Linked DNA regions of Caenorhabditis elegans. The protein of the gene in region 2 interacts with the protein of the main gene of each other region in a pairwise test. Each region holds a gene or a part of one and is shown on either strand. Other genes may lie near its edges.

Region 1 (3,923 bases), 1.6 Mb from region 2:
TCTCATAGTGTTTCGTTAAAAATCGATTTTTTTAATTAAAAAATTACTGAATTCGATTTTAAAATTTTTTGTTAAATATAAACGGGTGAGCGCCTTTAAAGGGTACTGTAATTTCGAACTTTCGCTGCTATGGAATTTTTTAAATAGATTTTTCGTAGTTTTTCGATAAAAATATATTTATTTATTTAAAAAAAGAAATAAAACAAAACATAAAAACTACGAAAAAATCGATGCAAATTTCATAGCAACGAAAGTTTGAAATTACAGTACTCTTTAAAGGCGCGCATCCATTTTTATTTAACAAACATTTTAAAAATTGAATTCAGTTTTTTAAATAAAAAAAAATCGATAAAAATCCCACAAAAGTTTGAAACTACAGTACTCTTTAGAGGCGCACAATAGGGGAAAAATTGTATGTGCATAATCGATAATTGTCGTGTACACGTGGTATCAGAGTGTCTCATTTCGGCTTGATCTACGTAGATCTACAAAAAATGCGGGAGAAGAGACGCAGAGTTCTCAACTGATTTTGCACGTGCTTACGTCACATTTTTTTAGGCAAAAAATTTCCGCATTTTTTGTAGATCAAACAGCAATGGGACAGCCTGGAACCACGTGATCGTGTCGAGACCGGAACAACTTTTTGGCTCCAAAATCGAGAAATATATTGATCTACAATTAAAAGAAGAATGTTTAAAACAACGAAATTTTCTTAGAAAATTGCGAAAAAGTTTCGATCGTGCCAGGACCACTAATAGCAAAATCACAAGGGGACATTTTCGGCATGGCCTAGAAAAAAAAAAGAAAACTCGGCCATTAAGAAACATTATCAGCTTCCAGCTTTCAAAGGACAGTAAAAATTAATTTAAGGAATTTCGCTGGCCGAGTTTTTGCTTTTTCTAGGTCACGCCTCAAAACACACCTGCGGAGAATCCGGATGAATATAATCGACAAATATCCCTCGACTCCGGCTCCCAACCATTCGAAACGCCATTCCATTTGGCTGCTCTGTATCTCGTGGGATTGAAATCTAGAATTTTTTTATTATTTATTTCCTCGATTTTATTTTCCGCGAGAAAACAAAAAAAAAACGCGAGCGTCTCTCATCTTTAATTCTCGTATTTTTCTGACATTTCAATTCCCTTGTTGAATTGGGAATTGGCTGAGCTTAGGCGACTACATGAAGAATGCGGAATGGCTTCTGAGAAGAAAAAATGCACAACAAGAGGCGCCCGGAATTTCCAGTATTACGGGAACACAAAATTCTGGGAATGCGTATTGTGCAACATATTTGACGCGCAAAATAAAAAATATCTCGTAGCGAAAACTACAATAATTCTTTAAATGACTACTGTAGCACTGGTGTCGATTTGCGGGCATCATTTATTTGAAAAAATTGAAAAAAAAACAAAAGAAAAAACGAAGGAAAATGGAATATTCATTTCAAAAATCAAGCCCGTAAATCGACACAAGCACTACAGTAGTCATTTAAAGAATTACTGTAGTATTCGGTGCGAGATATTTTCATATTTTGCGCGTCAAATATGTTGTGCAATACGCAGAGATCTCAGAATTTTGAATCGCTTTTTCACTTCTAGAATTTGTTTTTCAATATTTCCATCTTCCACGTCATCATTATCATTGGAGCATTTTGTAGTCGTCGGCTCCTCGTCATCATATGAGATTGCAGAATTTTCATAGGCTGAAGCGGAACGTGGAAGCCTATTTGCAGTGAGCATCTGGAATTGGGGATTGGGAATTTCGGTGCAAATACGCTCTAATCGGAATCTCTGAGAGCAATTCGGCGGGAAGAAAATTGGAAGAAATCATGAAAAAATCGAGTTTTTTTTTTGATTTGTCAGAGATTTTTAATGTGAAAAATTTGTTTTCTCTTGAAAATAACATAAGCCTAACACTATGCCTAATCCTAAGCCTAAGCCGAAGCCTAAGCCTAGACCCAAGCCTAAGCCTGAGCCTGAGCCTGAGCCTGAGCCTAAGTCTTAGCCTAGGCTTAATCCTAAGTCTACGCCTAATCCTAAGTCTACTCCTAAGCCTAAGCCTTACACAAGCCTGAGCCTGAGACTGAGACTGAGTCTGAGCCTAAGCCTAATCTTAAGCCTAAGCCTAAGCCTAAGCCTAAGCCTTAATCTAAGCATAAGCCTAGGCCTATTTTTTTCTCTTTCTCAAGAAGTGGACAAGTCGAGCCTGAAACACCGTTTGGAAAATTTTGAACTACGTGGCCTAGAAAATTAGAAACTCAGCCACGTCCAGAAAAAAAACATCGGCACGGTAGAACTTTTTTCAATACCATTCTCGATAACTCATTGGCCGAGTTTTCGCTTTTTCTAGGCCACTTAGCGACATGGCCTAGAAAATTAGAAACTCGGCCGTGCTCGTAAAACTCATTTTTGATTAGGGGTAACTTCCAGAAATTTTTTTTTAAAAATGGTGGCCGAGTTTTCGCTTTTTCTAGGCCACGGGCAGACTTGCACCCTTTCCCAGAAAAAACTCGAAATATTAAAATAACTCGTAAAAATATAGAAAAAAAAACGTCTTTCTCTTTCTGAGTGGCAGACGACGGAAACATCGTCGTCACTCTGGGGGGGAGCAGGAAGAACGATGAAAAAAGAGAGACAAATGGGCGGAAGAGGACGATTAGAATGCGTATTTGAGACACAACTTGCAAGATGAGACGGGGCGGGCAAATGCGAAATTATGCGCCGACTAGGAAATTCTTAATTTGCATTACTTTTTTTATATTACGGGAACTCAAAATTCTGAGATCTCTGCGTATTGCACAACATATTTGACGCGCAAAATATAAAAATATCTCGTAGCGAAAACTACAGTAATTCTTTAAATGACTACTGTAAGCCGATTTACGGGCTCGATTTTCGAAATGAATTTCTATTCAATTTTCTTTAGTGTTTTCGTATTTTTTGCCATTTTTGTGATTTCTTCTAATATTTTATCGATTAAAAAATGAGCCCGTAAATCGACCTACAGTAGTCATTTAAAGAATTACTGTAGTTTTCGCTACGAGATATTCTGCGCGTCAAATATGTTGTGCAATACGCATTCTCAGAATTTAGGCTTAAATAAAATCGGAAATTATTATTCATATGAATTTTTTTTCTCAAAAAGTGGAAAAAGTCTCGAGCTACCACCACAAAACACTGCTCTCACCACCAATAAAAATGGGCGGAACTTGAGCCCTGGCGTGTGCTCATTCTCCCAGGAGAGTGCTACAAATGGAAAGACAAGAAGAGACGATGGTGGTGTTAGCTATAAAATGAGAAAAAAAAAACGCGGGAAATGAATAGAGATACGTGCTTCCGAAATTGAAACGAATGGCGGTGTATAGGAATTAAAACTTTTTATTTTATTTTCCCAGGTCTCACCACGACCAATACATTTTAGCTACAGTAACTGCTAGAAATGCCAAAAAAATTAACGAAATTGCAAAGTTAAACAAAAACTACAGTATGCAATTAAAGGCACATGTGCTGAAAAGATGCGGCGCAAATTTGCGCCAAAAGTACGTTACACGGTCTCGACACGACTAATTTTTGTTAAATGTGAGTAGGTGCGCGCCTTTGAAAATTACTGTAGTTTGAAACTTTTTCATCTATATTTCATAATTCTCCTTAGGCTTAGGCGTAGGCTTATGGGTAGGCTTCGGCTTGGGCTCAGGCTTAGGTTGAGGCTTTGGCTTAGGCTTAGACTTTGGCTTAGGCTTAGGCTCAGGCTCAGGCTCAGGCATAGGCTCAGGCCTAGGCTTAGGCTTGGAAACTAGAGGATTTCTGAATTTTTTTTGCAATCAGAATTTCAGAAAACTAGATTTTCAGGTGCTCCACATTATTCCAACAAGGAAATCGTTTGTTGTTGCCTGCTCCGAGAAAAACTGGAATAATAATAACTCG
Region 2 (3,583 bases):
GGCAGATATCTCTAAAACAAAAATGATGAAGCTAAATTTGAAAAAAAGTTTTTGAATTAACTCAAAGTCAGTGCGTTCAATTAAAAAAAATCTTTTAGATGTGCTCTATTTAATATTTAAATAGAGACATCGTGAGTTGTTTAATGTTCATTAAAGTTAGGCTCCTTCTTTCGTAATGAAGAATTTATTTAAAGTTTTTTTTATTAATTATCCAGTAGTTATTTTTTACCCTACAAAGTTAAAAATTTCAACGTCAGAGATGTCCTAAAGCCAGTGCAAAAGTAATAGAAGAAATATGGTATTTCTTGGAAAATTGTGTTTTTGCACAATACAACTCGAAAAGTTCCAGTATTGAAATTTCCTGCCGTGCCTGAACCTCGATCGGTAATAGATCGTCAAATTTATTTAGAACGCGCAGTTTTACCAACTCTACAACCACAAGAAATTTCATTCTTATTGTCAACTACCAAGTTGTATGATCAATCTTATGATCTTCCGACTGTCATCATACTTTGCAACACCACCTCAACCTATCACTAGTTGCCGAGCGCCATCGGAGCAAAATCTGTGCTCGCCATTCGCCCCCAAATAATCCATTAATGTTTTTGCTGTGAAGCCCACTAGAGATCACATCCCGGCGTATAGAAACCAGAGAAACGTTACACATCTTTGGAACAGCTGCGTGCCATCAGAGCAGTCACTGACTTGAGGCAGAAAAGAGAGAAGAATCGAGCTTTGTTGACCAAACAACTTTATTTTGTTTTGTACAACAAAAAAAGAAGAAAAGAAGAAAATCATATTATTAGGATATGAGAAGGTATCGGGTGAAACATTGCAAGGGCTTGGCCATTTTTGGAATTCTTGAGTTGGATGGGTTGGTTTTTAGGCGAATGGGTTGGTCTTTCCGGCCTTTTGGAGCTGAAAATATTACAATTTTTATAGCTTGAAGTCAAATTTTAGATAAACTTACAACTCTGCCGAGCGAGAGAAGAGTGACGCAGACGGAGAAAAGATCGCGTCCTTCGACGAGCTCCACAGACTGGAATGTCTCCTCATTTGGTACTCCCTGCTTCTTGGCGAACTCGACGAATGCGTTGATGTTCTCCATGCATGCGAAGGTCGAGATCGGCTTTTGCACCTTCTTGATTGATCCGGCCTCGATTCCGTTGGCGGCTCTGAAAATTTTAAGATTTTGTTGAACAATACTAGGTAACAAAAACTCACTTGCAAAGAAGGGTTCCGTCCTTGAGAAGGTTGTGGAAGTTGTCGCGTTCTCCGGATGTAGAGATGTTCTCACCGGAGAGCTTCTTGATCCATTCGAGAAGAAGAGTGGCCTCCTTGTCGATGAACTTGGAGTCTTGCTGAAAAATGAAGAATAGCCTAACAAAATCACTGAAATTCACCAAACCTTTTGGCGGACAGCGAATCCGATTCCTCCGGCGGTGGTGCGATTGGCCATGGTGTTTAGAAGGGGGATAGTCAAAAAAGAATGACAATGAGCTTCTCCTCGCGTCGGACCTTGCTTTTATCAGATGCTCAAGCTCCGCCCACACCGGGGGAGCTTCCCGAAGGAAGATGGCTCGGGGGAACCAATTGTGCGTCTGGAGTCTCTTGCGGGGGAGAGATTTGCTGACGTGGTGTTTTGAAGTGGTGGGTGGCGAGAGGTGAAACGAACGGACCAATGGTCTGAGTCACTTGTTTCTACGGTGTAAAACGAAATATTTTGAAATTCATTGAAATATCAGAGATTATCATTCAAGTTGAAACGTCTGACCTGAGACTTCAAAGGCGCAAGAGGGTCTCGTCACGATTTACACCGGAAATTATTTGAATTCCAAGTTCTTGTCTTCCAATATTTTCAGTGTTTTTCTCCCGAAAATAGGGTTACCGCTCTTGCCACGATCGAAATAGTCCATAATCGACGAAAAATAGTGTGCGCCTTTAAGTTGTACAGTAACCCACTTTTTCCATTTGCCGGACTTAAAAATGGAGCCAATGCATTGACAGGGCCATGTGAATAAGCAAAACATCACAAAATTCTCTCAAAAGTTTGTTATAGCCCTTCAAATATCTAGAAATCATCCGCTGAGACTTTTTAATTCGAATTTCGCGCGGAAATGAATTTCATAGATTCTCGGCCGTGTACTCCTCTCGGACAAAGCGTGTACTCCTCTCGGACAAACCGTGTACTCCTCTCGGACAACTAAATTAATTTACTAATTGTTGAATTTAAGGCTGTTTTAAGCGATTTTTCGTATTTTATAATGAAATTTTATAATTTTCTAAAAAACTATAAAATTTGTGTCCAAAACTATCGATTTTCATTAGAAAAACAAGAGAATTCATGATAAAACACGAAAAATCGCCCGAATTCAATTGGATATATCTTTTTGGATATATAATTGAATATATTGGATAGATATATTAATATTTTTATCAATTGATTGTCCCAGAGCAGTACACGACCGGGAATCAAGAAACTTATCTCTTAAGCATATGTCTGGAATTTGTTCTCAAATCATTTTTCTAATCTGCAAAATTGCAAAAATCTGCTCTTTTCCTCCGTAAAACACATTCATCGCCATCTGGAATTCATTGCCGTTCCGTTTCTTTTGTTGTTCTTCACATTTTTGTCCATTGTAATGTTCAGATAGCTGTGCCACAAATTAGAGATGTCTGAAGTGTAATGCCACGTCACTTTCAGAAATCTCCAGAATCTTTCGAAACTTGTTGGCTGACAAGTCGAAGGTACTTTTTTTTTTGAAATCGATCGAGGTGTTGTTGATCCGCGAGTTGAGCAGCTGTCCAGCTGTCGCGTCCAACCCACTCAAAATTGTTGTTTTCGTGAAATGGGAAAAAGTTTGGCCTCTATTTACTGCATAAACATTTTGAAACCTCGACAAACCAGCAAACAAATTGAAACATAAAATAGAAATACGAAATAAATATAATGACGGGGAGGGAGAGCAATGAACTAGAATGCAACAGACAACAATAAATAGAGGAAAGGAAGCGATATGAAAAACAGGAAATAGATTGAAAATTGGGGAAATTAATTGATTGCAGCAAGGGCAAATTTCTGGGCGAGTTCGACGGCAGCATCAAGTTTATCGACATTCTCTCCGGTGAGCTGAGCATTTGCGTCCTTTCCACCACCTTTTCCACCGAGAACTGTGCAAACTTCATTCACCCACTCGTTGGCTTTCAGGCCGTTGCTCACCAAGCTCTGAAAAAATTATATTATTTTTCTGAATTGTTTCAAAATTTCAAATTTCTCACCTTATCAACTTTAGCAAGACACAAAACTTTTCCAGAATCTTCATTCACAGAGAAAGCCATAACTGCTTTTGTGTCCTTGAGAAGTTTCAGAGCATTATCGATGGCTTTGCTGTTAGCATTGGCGGCGAAGACGTGAACGAGAACAGTAGGCTGCTCAGCGACAGCAGCAAGTTCCTTGGCTTCTCCAAGAACCTTTTCAGCGACAGCGGCTTGTTGTGCCTTTGTGTATCCATCCAAAGTCTTCTGAATGGCCTTTGCCTTTTCACGGATAGAATCCTTTCGCCAGTATGGCAGCTGAGCTCCG

What was found.
Region 1: the proteins of cpn-3 (region 2) and F23C8.13 interact in a two-hybrid assay, tested with the Caenorhabditis elegans proteins (one large-scale study listed by BioGRID).

What each region holds. Positions count from the first base shown.
Region 1 is NC_003279.8:2,412,949-2,416,871, reverse strand, and holds the start of F23C8.13 (PDZ domain-containing protein), read right to left. Parts: upstream 1,742-3,923; 5' UTR 1,740-1,741; coding exon 1,593-1,739; intron 1,031-1,592; coding exon 923-1,030; intron 1-922.
Region 2 is NC_003279.8:3,985,854-3,989,436, reverse strand, and holds cpn-3 (Calponin-homology (CH) domain-containing protein), read right to left. Parts: upstream 1,498-3,583; 5' UTR 1,460-1,497; coding exon 1,409-1,459; intron 1,362-1,408; coding exon 1,225-1,361; intron 1,176-1,224; coding exon 971-1,175; intron 919-970; coding exon 883-918; 3' UTR 738-882; downstream 1-737. Other genes in the region: aars-2 (Alanine--tRNA ligase, cytoplasmic), read right to left, coding at 3,053-3,226, 3,280-3,583.